2 linked regions of the Rhinolophus ferrumequinum genome follow. The protein of the gene in region 1 purifies or fractionates together with the protein of each later gene. This does not show direct contact. Links are inferred from orthologs where the notes say so. Each region holds a gene or a part of one and is shown on either strand. Other genes may lie near its edges.

What was found. The genes of interacting proteins can lie anywhere in the genome.
Region 2: the proteins of SRPK2 (region 1) and SON purify together in Homo sapiens (affinity purification with mass spectrometry; 4 studies listed by BioGRID and IntAct, with this or other methods). This does not show direct contact. The link is inferred for Rhinolophus ferrumequinum from reciprocal best matches to the Homo sapiens genes SRPK2 and SON.

The regions. Positions count from the first base shown.
Region 1 is NC_046303.1:48,818,224-48,826,230, reverse strand, and holds the start of SRPK2 (SRSF protein kinase 2), read left to right. Parts: upstream 1-5,004; 5' UTR 5,005-5,007; coding exon 5,008-5,134; intron 5,135-5,467; exon of another isoform or gene 5,468-5,584; coding exon of another isoform or gene 5,585-5,600; intron 5,601-5,690; coding exon 5,691-5,745; intron 5,746-8,007. UniProt on the Homo sapiens protein: Serine/arginine-rich protein-specific kinase which specifically phosphorylates its substrates at serine residues located in regions rich in arginine/serine dipeptides, known as RS domains and is involved in the phosphorylation of SR splicing factors and the regulation of splicing.
Region 2 is NC_046285.1:99,475,812-99,482,827, forward strand, and holds the start of SON (protein SON), read left to right. Parts: upstream 1-4,000; 5' UTR 4,001-4,270; coding exon 4,271-4,347; intron 4,348-7,016. Other genes in the region: GART (trifunctional purine biosynthetic protein adenosine-3), read right to left, coding at 822-966. UniProt on the Homo sapiens protein: RNA-binding protein that acts as a mRNA splicing cofactor by promoting efficient splicing of transcripts that possess weak splice sites.

The DNA of each region.
Region 1 (8,007 bases):
ATACATTTGTTAATACGCATATGTATAATAGCTAATGCTTATTGAACACTTAGATCCTTCTCTAAGCATTTGATGTGAAATAACTCATTCAATCCTCGCAACAAATGTATAAGGTACAAATGTATAAGGTAGGTAATATTACTGTGTACATTTTGCAGATCAGGAAACTGAGTAACTTGCCCAAGTTACCCAGCTAGCTAATGGCAGAACTAGGATTTGAACCCTGGGAGTCTGGCTCCACTACTCTGTACTCTAATGTCTTTTCTTTTTTTCTTTTTAGATTTTATTGGGGAAAGGGAACAGGACTTTATTGGGGAACAGTGTGTACTTCCGGGACTTTTCCAAGTCAAGTTGTTGTCCTTTCAATCTTAGTTGTGGAGGGCGCAGCTCAGCTCCAGGTCCAGTTGCCGTTTTCTAGTTGCAGGGGGCGCAGCCCACCATCCCTTGTGGGAGTCCAACCGGCAACCTTGTGGTTGAGAGGACGCGCTCCAACCAACTGAGCCATCTGGGCACTGGGAAGCTCAGCGGCGCTCATTGACTTCATTCTAGTTGTGGAGAGCGCAGCTCGCTGGCCCATGGGGGAATCGAACCGGCAGCCCGGTTGCCCAGAGCTCCCGCTCTAACCAACTGAGCCACACCCGTCTGCCCCCTTCTGTACGCTAATTTCTGTGTTACACTGCTGTTACAAGGGTGCCGGTGCCCCTGAGAAATACACAGTAATGAAATAACAAGAGACAGGCCTAAGCTTCATAATAAAAAGTGTAGATCAGATATAAAGTAATTTTCCTAAAAATTTAAGTGATGGAGAGCCTTTAGAAGGAGGCCAGGTTCTCACCCACTACAGGCCCCAAGATGGATTATATGACCTCTCAAATCTGTTTCCAATTCTATGGCATATTGAATATATCTCCTAAGATTCACACACATACGCGCGCGCGCGCGCGCGCGCGCGCGCGCGCACACACACACACACAGCATGATTTAGTAGCTGTACTTGGAAATATCAGAGAGTGGTTGGATTTACAGCATTCTGTAATTTTCTCTTGTATTTGGTAAAAATTAATATGATACTTTTGTCTTGAATTCTGTTGTACTAGGTTGGGGGGAAATGCATATGTACTGCCCTTTTCACTTCTTTTGGACTGTTACAGAGCTCTAATACTTCCCCTTCTGACTTATAATATTCACATAATTAATTATTTATGTAGCCATAAATGATGGTAGAATAAAAAAATTAAACCCATACTCTATTACTCTTTTCCTTTCCTTTTTTGGTATTTCCTTTAAAATGTCATTCTAAATTATGATGCATCTTAAAGAAAACTTTAATTTATACATTGGCAGAGACTAGGTCTTTAATTTGTTATTCTTTCTTTAAGCATCTAATATAGTACATGTTAAGGTGCTTATTGACAATTAGGTTGGTTTATTTTAATTTAACACATTCAAAGCAATTCACAAATATTCTCAGTGGCAAATAGAGCTCTCTCCTAATTTATAGAAGTAAAAAAGACTAGACCTTAAAGACTTTAGGTCTTTGTTACCTTCTCAGGGACTTTCCTAAACACTTTCCCAACAGGTTACTGTTTTGTTTTTTTGTCCTTTTCATAGATGTTACTGCCATTTACTATAGTAAGCATAGTTTATATCTATTTTACATATTTAGTTTATTTTCTGTCTTCTGGCAGTAGAATGTAAGCTCCATGAGGGCAAGGAGATTTTTGTGTGCTTTTGTTCACTGCTGTAGACTCAATATCTAGAATAATGCCTGCTATATAATAGGTGTTTGGTATGTATTTGTTGAATAAATGAATACAAGAGATCCAGCAAACAGATTGGATAATCTTTCTCAACCATTGTTAATGATAATTCGTATTTATTGAATATTTTCTTATCTTCTTTGATTATCATATTGATCTAGGATGGTCGGTATTAATATTATTACTGTTTTCCAGTAATTAAGTAACTTGCCCAATGTTATTCAGAAATTAAGTAGCAGAAATTGGTTTCAGCATTAAGTGAAAGAAGACAGTCACAAAATGCCACATATTGTATGATTGTGTTTATATGATTTGTCCAGAATAGGTGAGTCTATAGAGACAGAAAGGAGATCAGTGGTTGCCTAGGGCTTGGGCAAAGGGAGGTTGGGAGAAGAAGCCTAATAGGTATGTAGTGAGTATCTCTTAGGAATGACAGAATGTTTTAAAATTAGACTTTGGTGGTGGTTGCACACCATGTGCATATACTGAGAACCATTGAAGTTTGAACTTTAAATGGGTGAATTGTGTGGTATGTGAATTATGTCTCAATAAAGCTGTTAAAAATAAAAAACTGATTTTAAACTCAGATTTCTCTGGTTTAAAGCTTCTAATCACCTTCTGTAAGGAGCCAAAACTGGAGAAATGGCTGGTTCTGGTTCCTGGTTGGGGAAAGCACAGGTTTCCTGGAATATCATGTGCTAGAAAGTAAACAGGTACTCAAAAACTGGGACATGTGCAAAGGATTGCAAGTGGAAAGTGTCTTCCCTGGTCAAATATAAGATAATTCAAGAATCAAAAATTAAGGTGATAGTAATTACTGTCAATATTGCTACTAAAAACAAAAACAAAAAAGCCAAAAACAAACAGAAAACAGAGGTGGTGGGAACGAAATGAAAGCTTTCCTCACATAAAAATATCACCTAATTAGCATAGATGGAACAGATGAAATGATAGGAGTGTAATATCATTCTACAACCACTATAGTAATAATTGATTCAGGCAAGCATCATGAATGGATGCTAACACAAAGAGTGAAAGATTCTAGGGGAAAGGCTCACACAGTCTCAAAGTATTATCCCACAGATTACTTAAAAAACAAAACAAACAAACAAACAAAACAACTGAGGTGAAATTCACATAACATGAAACTGACCATTTTAGAGTGAACAATTCAGCAGCATTTAGTACATTTACAGATAGAGGTGGCCACCACCACCTCTACCTAGCTCCAAAACATTTTCCTCACTACAAAACAAAACCCTGTACCCATTAAGCAGTGGCTCCTCATTTCCCTCCCCCCAGCCATTGCCACCACCAAACTGCTTTCTGTGGATTTGCTTATTCTGGACGTTTCATAAAATTGACTCATAATATGTGACTTTTTGTGCCTGGTTTCTTTCACTTGGCATGGTTTTGAGGTTCATCCATATTGTAGCACATTGTATCAGCACTGCATTCCTTTTTATGGCTGAAAAATATTTCATTGTATGTCTTTACCACAATTTGTTTATCCATTCATACATGGGTGGATATTTTTGGGTTGTTTCTAACCTTTTGGCTACTGTGATTCATGCTGCTCTGACCATTTGTGTACAAGGATTTGTTTGAGTACCTAGAACCATAGAATTGCTAATAATTCATTGGTTAGCTTCTTGAAGAACTGTAGCACTATTTCCCACAGTGATTGCACCATTTTACATTCTCACCAGTAATGTATGAGGATTCCAATGTCTCTACATCCTTGCCAATACTTATTTTCCATTAAAAAAAATTATAGTCATCCTATTAGGTGTGAAGTGCTATTTCATGTGGTTTTGCTTTTTCATTTCTCTAATGATGTTGAGCACGTTTTCATCCACTTGTATATTTTCTTAGGAGAAATGTCTGTTTCTTGAATCTGTTGCCCATTTTTCACACAGACTAGTTTTCAAATACAAAAGAAAAAAGTACCTTCACCATGGAGAAATGATTAAATGTAACATCATCAATAATGGAACAAACTGACGTGATATCCTTTCTGTAGTGGCAATGTGCTAAGACGGATACAATATCATCTAGATAGAGTGCCTGATACAATTATTTAACTTGACTCTAATAGAGAACAAACTGAGGAGCATTCTGCAAAACAGTGGAATTGGATTCTTCCAAAGAGTCAATGTTATAACAGAAAAAACAAAACAAAACCAGGGATTACTCTAGACTAAAGGAGTTTAAAAATACATAACAAACTAAGCGCAATGCTTGATCCTTGATTGTATCCTGGATTGGGGGGAAAAAAGTGAGCTATAACAGACATTTTGAGAATTTGAATATGGCTTCGGTATATTACAGATAATAGTATTAATATTAAATTTTCTTGGAGTAATAATGGAATTCTGATTATGTAGGAGAATATCTTTGTTCTTAGTAGATATTTATTGAAATATTCAGGGGTAAAGGATAACGATGTCTGTGAAAAACTCAAATGATTCAGTAAAAACAAAATAACCAAACAAAAGCCCCATACACACCACACACATATACATAGGTAAAGCAAATGTGGTGAAACCTTAAAAATTGGTGAATAGGGGTTAACATGGATGCTCATTATACTTTACTCGTAACTTTTCTGTAGGTTTAATATTTTTGAAAAAAAGTTGAGAAAGTAAAAAGCTCTTGAAGTCCAAGCAGAACTTTTTGTTCTTTGGGTTTAGCGTCTTTAGAATAAAGGCTAGCTACTTTGGTCAGTTAAGAATACCGTTGTGTAACCAAAGAGAGAGTAAATGATCCGGGTTATCTTTCAAAGTATTATAATTACTTAAATAAAAAAGAAAACATTGCAGTTATCATTTTGTCCCACCATCAACTTAATTCACATCTTTATTAGGAAGCATGCATGATACGCAGAAAGTTTGGATCAGCCAGGCCTAAATTTGAATCATTGCTAAGTAAACTGTTTGACCTCTTTAGGACTCAGTTTCCTCACTGTAAAAAGGAAAAAATAATTACTTGGTGGGGTTGTTGTGTTACACAGTCGTACACATGGTATTTATTGAGCGCGGCTTGAATTAACGTGTAAAAAGCGCCAACCTACTTTCCATGCTATTTGCAACTTTTCCTTCATTAAAGTCAAGCAATCCTGTGGGGTAAGTAAAGGCGAGAGATAAGATGACTTCTCCAAGGTCACACAGCTAGTGAAGGACCCAGGTTGCCCAGCTCTTGGTCCTGTGACCTTTCCACACTCGCCCGAGGGGAGAAAGCGGCGCTCATGGGGATGCAAGGATGTAGAGGAGCCAAGGGGGAGAAGAGGCCGCGCGAAGAGCGGTGGTGTGAGACCCGCGGAGGCGCGGGCCAAGGAAGGGCACATGGACAGGCGGGCCGCGCCACTGGCCGGGGTGAGGCTGTGGCTGGAGAACGAGGGTCGCGCGGCCGGGTGCGGGTGAGAGGCGGGAGGCCCGGGCCAGCCGCGGGGGCGCGAGAGGCGGAGGCCCCGGCCGCGGGAGGGGGCGGGGAGGCGAGGGCCGGCGCGGCGGAGGTCGTGGGGGGTCGTTTCCGCACCCGCGGGGCGGGCGTGGGGGTGCGGGGCGCGCGGAAGGAACCGGGCGCGGGGGTCAGGACCCCACCGGGTGGGGGGGCGGGGCGGGTCTGGCCGGGGGCGGGTCTTGCTGGGTCCCCCGCGGGAGCGGCGGCGGCAGCAGCAGCGGCGGCGCAGGCGCGGTTCCCGCCTCCTCCCGGCTGGCGGAGCGAGTGGAGGCTGCAGCCCGGCTCCGCTCCCGCGTCGCCGCCGCCGCCACCGCTGCGGCCGCCGTCGCAGAGCCCCCCCGCCCTCCTTCCGCCGCGTCGGTATGAGCTCCCGGAAAGGTGAGTGGCCCACGGCGTCCCCTCTTCCCTGCCACGCGGCCCCGCAGGCCGGCCTGCCTGACCGTTAATGTATGTCTCTTCTTTCCCCAGTGCTGGCCATTCAGGCCCGAAAGCGGAGGCCGAAGAGAGAGAAACATCCGAAAAAGTGAGTCCACGCGGCGCTAGCACCCGGATCCCCGCCCCCGGCCGGTCGGGGGCAGCCCGCGACGGTGCCCGGGAAGTTGCCCGGATCCCCAGGGCCAGCGGGCAGGCTGATTCCCAGGGACGCGGGCGCTAGCCTCCTGCGCGCCCCGCGGGCGGCCCGGGGGGAGGGGCGGAGGGCGGGGGAGGGGCGCGCGCGAGCCCGCGGCCGGCGGGTTGAGCATCCCCGGGCGGTCCCTGGGACCTAAGTCGCCGCGGCCGTCGGGGCGGTTGGATGAGGAGGTGCCGGGCGTGCGCCCGGTCGCCTGCGCGCCGAGCTGTCCCCGGAGGTCGCAGGCCTTTCCCCGGAGGGGCGCTGGCGCCGGCTGCGGCATGAGGCTGCCTACCTGCTCCCACCTGGGCACCGGGGCTCGAGAGAGGAGGAGCCGAGTGTACGAGAGAGTGCGTGTGTGAGTGTGTGTGTCGCGTCCTCGTCCTCCCCGGCCCTTGCCTGTCGGCTGAAAACCCGAGCCAGTTGTCAAGAGGTTCGCTCCGGGAGTGTTCCTGGCGCGAGTTCAACGCTGAGACCTGTGCATTTCGGCGCTTGGGTTTGTATTCGAAACTTTGTGCTTGGGCCGAACGTGACTGCTGCGCTGGACCGGTGGGCGTGTGCGCGGGCGGTCCCCGGCGCGGCTTCCCGGCCTCTCATTGTGCCGCGAGTTGATGAATAGGGTGGTGATATTTAAAACGTGCCAGTCGCCGGCCACCTCCAGCCTGGCTGCGGACCGTAGTGGGAGCGGCCGGCTCCCGAGAAGCCTTTCCTGGAGAGCTGCTCCGAGACTGCAGAGCGCCGCCGCCTCTTTTTCCTTTTTCTCTTAATTAAAAAAAAAACATCTGCCAGCGTTCAACATCTTTACTCTGTCTAGATTTGTGGCTTTGCTCTTCTTTTTGAGCAAGGAAGGTATTTTTGGTACTATGAGGAATGACAGTCCATGATCTTTTAATAAAATCACCAAGTATTTCCTTTTTGTTTCCTTTCGGGGGGGCTGCCTGCAGCATTCCTAGACTTTCTTCTTTCCTGGTCGCCTTGGTCTCCGCTTAGCAAATTTCGTACCCGTTGGTATCTATGCAAACTGCCTAAGTTATTGCTAATGTATATCATGATATTATTATGACAGGAGTTTTGTTCCTTTTAAATGGAATATAATTTGAAACTATGTTCAGGATTTCACAAAATATGGATATCCACCTAATGCCTCAAAAAACTTACAGAGTGTGGGAAAAATACTTAAATTAAGAACTTAAGGAACTGATGGGTAATTTGGTAGTTTTAGATGCTTTAAAACAATTAATGCTAGCTTTCAAGTCAATCTTCAATCTGGGATTTCCTTTGATGAACGATTAAAGTTGAGCCAGTAGGTAAGGCGAACTAATGTTTAGGATCTTGAGTTTTAGTCACAACTTTCAATTCAAAGCATTTATTTCCACATTGCTCATTATGTTCAGAAACGTAAAAAAGAATTGAAAAAACCCTGCCCCCAATTTTGGGGAATGACTCTGTGTGTATATATGTATACTTATGTGTATGTATATATACATATGTGTGTTAAATATATGCATACATACAGAAAAACAGTTTTAGTTAAGTCAATGTGTGTAGCATATTTTCATATTTCAGGGTATGACTTTCCTAATGGCTAAGAGCCTTTTTTTGGTGTGCTGCAGTTTGGATTTATGTGGTATGTTTATAAAGAATTAGTGTGTATCCAAGTATTCAACTGTTACTCACAGATTAATCTGTCAGTTTCTTCTATTGTCTGTTGTATGTATTTGATAAGCTTTGAGGGAAATCTCCCCTCCCCCCCGCCAGTGACTAAATTAACTGGTTAGTCTGCAAGGTAATTAATTAGCAAGAGCAGATTGGTCCAATTACATAAGTGTTTGATTAAGACAATGTCATTTTTAACTTAATCCTTTGAATCAAGATATTATTTTAAAGGAATGCTTGATATGATTTATGTATTCATGTATTCAATAAGTATTTGCATGCCTTTCCTAGGAGGCGGTGATAGAGCTTTGAACAAGCTGAACAAAGCTACTCCTGAAGCTTATATTCTATGGGGGTTTGGGGAGAATTCCAAAGAAGATGGATTGTGAATGGATTGTGGAGGACGGGAGAGGTACATAATGGGAGCTGGCCAATTATAGTACTTGGGAAACCATGGTGACTTGGTTTAGGGTGTAAAGAGTGGCACGCTGGAGAGAAGAGCTGGTGGAAGAGGGACTT
Region 2 (7,016 bases), on another chromosome or scaffold:
AATTCCTTGCCCTGATGTAGCTTACCTCCTACAGCTTACGTTCTAGGGGTGAAGTGAAGGTAGGAGACAGACAATAGACAAGTAAAAAATAAATATAGATAATGGTTCACAATCGCAAACAAATAAAATGTGAGGTGGACATGCTTTACTTAGAAACTTTAGGAAAGTCCTCTTTGAGGAGATAACATATAAGCTGAGATCTGAAATAATGAGGAGCCACTAATGCTGGAGGTGGGAACAAATACAAAGGCCTAGGCAGCTCTGTTTGGGAAACTGGCAGCCTGCATGGCTAGAGCACAGTGAAAAGAAAACAAAGGATATGACAAATAATACCGGAAAGGCAGGCACAGGCTAGATCACAAAGGGCTTCATCAGGAACACTAAGGACTTTTGAGTTTTATTTTAAGTGCTATAGGAAGCCACTGAAGAGTTTAATATAGCATAAGAACTGATCATTTTTTCATTTTTACCAGTTAAAGAGATAAAGGCTGAGACCTATGATGGAGATAGAATTGCCAGAACTTAATAGCACTGCTCAACTTTTCATGTCCAAAACTACACATTAAAATGCCTTTAACCTACCTACATTGGGCATGTGTGACTTTTTTAATGGATGTGTTTTATAAGGTTTAAAATAATTTAAGATAAGAAAATGCCACATACCGAACAACAGTATACCTTACATTTACAATATATGGCAAACATTCAAATTACCTCATAAACTTTAAGGTTAAGAAAAGCATTCACATCTGAATAGCAATTGACCTTATAAAAAACAGATGCAGTTGACAGTTTATCATTTATAATTAAAACATGATTACCAGCATTTGAAATCTTTTCAGAGCAGGCAGTGCCTGCATTTCCTGGGGCAACCAACACCTGTTTGACATGATTAGACTGTGCAAGTTTCCACGCCAGTGCATGTTCTCTTCCTCCATTGCCAATTACAAGTACTCGGGCTGCCATTGCTGTCTGCAAAGTAGGAATTCAGAAGGAAAATGAGAGCTGCAGAAAGAAAACCACAATCGGTATTTCAGAATGCACATACTTTAGAAATAACAATTTTTAAATATGATGTATTCCAACAATTCATTTGTGAAAAGTTAGGATGAATTTGAGAAATGAAATAATGAGAAATATGACTGTATTCATGATTAGGGAGGTGTTTTAAAAATGAGGCAGACAGGCCTAGAGAGCTAAGTTAAGGAGTAAAATGGTGACTTTAACTCCTTATTGGATTAATAAAAACACAAAAAACAAACCTTGTATGAACAATAACCTTCTGGGTTTTTAGAAGATATAATAATCGAGCCTCAGTTAAAAATGAATCCTGATGTTTTACATCTAGACCAGAACTCAAAATAACTATTTTTAAATCTTGTGATCATCTGCTGTAGCATGAAAACAGCCATAGACAATATATAAATAAATAAATGTGGCTATGTCCAGTAAAAACTTACAGAAACAGGCAGGCCATGGGCAGTAGGTCATAGTTTGGCTATCTCTGCTCTAAGCAATAGAAAGTAATCAGAGGTTTATAAAGAATAAGCATGGCTGTGTTTTAATAAAACTATTGTTTATGGACACTGCAATTTGAATTTTAATTTTCACGTGTCATAAAAACACCGTTCTTTTTCCCCCAAACATTTAATAACGTGAAAACTATCCTTATTTGGTGGGCTGTACAAAAACAGTTGACAGGAAGGATTGGCATAAAGGTCATAGTTTGCTGACCTCCGATTTAAGAAATTAGTGCAGTATTTTAGAAAATCAGTAGAGAAGGCAAAAATCAAATTTGAATATGTCTCACATTGTTCTGGAATTTGATTCTGAGCAGGATGGGGCAACAGCTATCTCTCCACTGGTTAGCAGTGTGACTTTGGGTAAGCTCTTATTATTTCTAATTCAATTTCTTCACATCTTAAAAGATGGGAGAAAATTTGCCTTACAAGGTTACTTAAGGATGAACTGGAAGGGTATTTATATAAACAATTAGTACAATTTCTGACATTCAGCAGTAGTAAATGCTAACTTGTTATATTTTATTAAGTACTTTTACTTAAAGTAATACTTTAGAAGTTAGAAGTTCTAACAGAAAAAAAAGCAAAAGGAATGAATAATTTGGCAAATTAATTTACTAATTTTCAGAAGACATTTAATTACGTAGAAGGCAAACTGAAAATGGGAAAAAGAAAACTGAAATTTGTAACTTCTTGTGAGATGCTAGGATTACACATTTAAATAAAAACCTAAGTTGATAATAGAAAAAACTAACACTTTTTGAGCACTTACTTTGTGCCAGATGCTACATTCTAGACGCTTTTCATGAACTACTTTGCTTAATCTTCCTAATTCTATGTGATACTATTACCATCCCCATTTTACAGATAAGAAACTGAGGTACAGTTAGGTTAAGTAACTTGCAGGTCAGAGCTCATGTATTGCAACTGAAGCAATTTTTCATCAGATACTGTAACAAGGAGATGGTGGTCATTGAAAACCTGAGGGAAAAAAATTACTAAATTATCTTCTCAGAAAGGAAAAAGTTATTTTAATTTAACAGAAAACACAGATTTGCCATGTGCATTGAAACATCTGAAAGAAACACAGCTTTAAAACTAGAGAAAATATTACATTTTGTTTGAACAAGAAGGGGAAGAGAAGACTCAGCCTGAACGAATCTACACCAGGAGTGGTCAGGCCCAGGCTCTAATCCGGGTGCCTTGGTTTGGGTTGAGACACTGTCCCTTATTAACCAGGATACGTTGAGGGACTTAACTTTCTCGGGCCTCAGTTATCCAAGTGAGTAACATAACGAGATGAAGAGAGCCAGGTAAAGCCTGGCTTTCAATGGATTTGGTGAGTAACATAAAGTAAAAACCAATTACAGAGGTGGACTAATCTGCTAGACACAATGGGTGCATAACAAGAAAATATACAACTTATATTTATGACCTAAAAAAAGAAGCATAAAGATACAAAAGGCCTGAATCTTAGAAAGCAGGGAAAGTGACAGATCCAATGTAAACCTCAGTTAAAAATGAAAAGCACATGGCGAACCCCCACTCAGTGCATTTAAAAATTGAGTATTCCTATAGCCAAACCAGTTTCTACAGCTATCTCACAACTGGAGTTAGTTCATTCAATTCCTAATATTAGATCCCCAAACCAAAGCATAAATGTACTTTACTTAAAAGCGCCGAGGGCTTACGCACGAACACAATGTCGACTCAAGGCCTTCTGGCCGCTGGCACTCACAAGTTCGACTGCGCGCTTGGAGCTCGAGCGCCCGCGCGCGCCGGAAGTCAGCCCACCGGGATCCGGGGCGCGCGCCTCCTCCCCGCTCCGGGCCCGCCCCGCGGTGGGCTTCGCTTCCCCATTGGTCAACGCAAACCGTGGTCTCTGCCGCGAGGTAATCAGTGTGTTCCCTCCCATTCTTGGGTGCGGCCTGAGCCCACTCCAGCGCAAAGCTAGCAAGCCCTTCCTTGCGTGCTTATGTGATACTACAGCATCAGGTGCCACCTAAGGTCTTTATTCCTCCCGGAGAGCGTCCCGGTCTCTGAGGAGGGGGAGTGTCCCAAAACGCTGAATCCACACTTAGCTAATTGTGTGTTGCTAACGAGTCAGAATCGAGCAGCTACAGTGATAGTCTCGCCTGGCTCCTGACTAGCATGCACCAGGCTTTGAACGCAGGTCGCGCAAGACTTCCTATTGCTTAAAAACAAAACTGATTATAGGCTATCATGGGGTAAAATCGTGTCCTTCCTATTGGCATCTCAGTGGGGGCGGGCGCTGATTAATGCTTTCCCGGATGCATCTCCCTTGCTGAAACAACTTGGGAATGTCGGAGGCCCGGTATCCAACGTGTTGCCCTTCTTACCCCCTTTCCTCATAGTATTTAATCTCGGGAGTTTAGTGGCTAAAGTAAGCCTCTTAAGCTTCCAAACATTGTTGGGGACTGACAACTTAAACTGACAAAGTCGCCTCGAGAGATTTCTCCTGTAATGGCGCCTGCGTCAGTCACTAACATGGCGGACAGAGTCGTGCGCGGCGCAAACGTCAGCAGCTCTACCCAAGCCGCTCAGAAACAGCGGAGGAGAGCAGGGCCGTGCTCACTGATTGGTACATTGGCAGAGCGTGCAGATCCGGACGCTCCCACAGGAGCCAATCAGGACTGCGAGAGACGGAATTGGCCCCTGCGCCTCCTCCCGAGGCATTCTGGGAGCCTGGAGGACTAGCGAGGAGGAGTTGAGAGAACGGAGCGGACGCCATGGCGACCAACATCGAGCAGATTTTTAGGTCTTTCGTGGTCAGTAAATTCCGGGAAATTCAACAGGAGCTTTCAAGGTAGGCGCTTCCCAGACTCTTCTGCTCCCAAGGGATCGATAGGGCATCATGTAGTCTTCCATACCACCTTTATTCAGAGACGCCGTCGTTCCCTGCCTCAGGCCCCGCTACAGCCCCGCCTGGGCCTGGGATCCATTTTCCGCCCCCCCCACCCCCATCCGCTCCCTCCCTTCCCAGCGAGGAACTTCGCTCTTTCCGAGGTAATCCCAGACTCTTCTCCAGGACCGAGTTAAGAAGCTCACTCTTCTCTCTCGTTTGGTCGTCCCCTACCCTTTAGTTAGTAGGCCTGGTTGTCCACTAGGGACGGGCCTAGTTCCTCCTCAGCTCCTCCTCCGCCGCCGCGTTTCCCCTCCCCCTCTCAGCCTCCGCGGATTTCGCCGGTCGGTGCCTATGACCGGAAAGGGTCTCTAACGGCCGTTTTTTTGACTAAACTTAAATCCGCTTTTTACTGCATGCTTCAGACCATTTGGGGGTCGGGATCCTCTAATTAGATTATTTGGGCCCTAGTGTCCTGTGGCTTCCACCAGGCAGCATTGTAAGTTTCGGAATTCAAATTAAAAAAACTCAATTAATGTTAGCTGCTTTGACAAAAATTTCGAGTTGAGGATGGAAGGGGACTTTGAATTACTACTAATTTCTTAATTTAGCAAGTGAAAGATGGGCTTTGTGTGTAGATCTAAATTTTTATTTGCTATCGTTGCCCCAATTGATATATTTGAACAACACATTCCATTTTGCCATTGCTGGTAGACTACGTAGTTTATCCTTGGTTCCACAAAATTTGAACGAGGAGAGAGTTCCAAAGAAATAGTTGTTTACTCAGAGGAAAATAGTGTGGGTAATGTGGTTGTTCACTGGTTGTCTTTCAGTATTTTTTGCTTTGTATAACGTAAATATTTGTTCCGAGTCCAAATGTTTTTGCTAGTTTTAGTTTAAAAGTTGAGAGCAGGAGCAATAAAAATCAACGGAAAACGCAATTGTAAATTAAGCGCTCGAGTTAACAGCGTTATTGGAGCAACGATATAGTATTGCTAGGATTATTTTTTACAGGATATATTGTATTTTAAATGGGAAATATATCCGCTTACTCATTCCATTGCTTTCAAAAATTTTGTTACATGCTTGTATTTTCAGGATGATGGGAAAAGACCTGAGCTAAGGGAATATGTAATACATATATTTTGGGGGGGATACATTCTAATAGTCTCGTGCAGTAAGTGGTTGTGTTTGCTTATTGTAATGTCTTTTATACCTTTTAAAATCGGTTTTTGTGTTAGAAAGTGTTTTGTTGTGAAAAAATTTTAAAAAGTTTAAAAGGAACAAAATTAAAAACCACCACAGTTATTGATGTTCTTTGATTTTTTTTTTTTCCTGTGTGGATAGATGCACATACATGTCTTGTGATATGTGATTATCTTGTGTTGGTTGTTTTTTCACCTAATATATTGTGAGCAAGGTTGTCTTTAATCAATCTCCATAGTCTTTTGGGACTTATGGGACATTTTTTTCATGGTTCCGTAGAATTCTGTAGGAATGTGTTGATGGATGTTTAATGGTTTGAAATTTTCATCCCTTTTGAGGAAAACATCCTGATAGCTTTAAGATGGTTACTTTCTCATAGACTGACTTTTTTTAGTTGTACTTTTCTGATTTTTAAATCTGTTGCCTTTTTAGTGAGGTAATTACGTATGTGTAAGTGCTTAGGAAAAGTGCTTTGGAAGGAAATTCTAAAGAATATCAGAGAAAGCAATTTATTACTAGAGGAATATTCAGCTCCTCAAATAACATGTAATACATTATCGGTCGAAAAACAGATTTTTGATATTTGCCATTTCCATGAGCTTTATGTCCCATCTATTTTTACATATGTCAATTTCAGTAAGGAGACTGAAATTTAGATAGTTAAAATAGGTTGTTTATTATATATAGATGGTGGTTAAGAGGATGAGCTCTGGCTTTGAATAGCAGCTTCACCTCTTAATAGCTGTGTGACCTACAGCAAGGTTTCTTGTCTTTTCTGTGCCTCATATTCCTTATTTATAAAATCAGAATAATAGTGCTGATCTTAAGGTCTCATTAGAATTAAATGAGTTTAAAAAATGTAGAACCTTGTGACACTAATAGTCAACAAATGTTAATTATGTGCATCATTGTATTAGAAAACCAAATGTTCCTTAATTAGTTAACTACCAATTTTTTTTGATCATTCAGACTTTTCATCAGGTAGTGGAGCATAATTCCATCTGTTTTGTTAGCTAAAATGTAAGTTAAATTGAATGTGTTCTTGAAATTATTTTTTAAAACAATTTTGCAAATTTATACAAAAATAGTGGAAATGACCATGTAAATGACATGTTCTTACGTTTGTTAAGATTCTTGTAAAACAAAACAAAACAACCTTTAAAAAAAACCCAAAACCCACAAAACAAATGAACAAAACAAAAACAAACTCATAGATACAGGAAACAGAGTGGTGGTTATGAGAGGGGGAGAATGTTGGGGAAGAGGGAGGAAGAGGTGAAGGGGTCAATGGTGTGGCGATAGATGATGGTATCTGTCTAGACTTTTGATAGTGACCACTTGTGGTGTATATAGATGATGGATGATTATGTGCACTTCAAGACACACACACACACACACACACACTTTACCCCAATTAAAAAAAAATG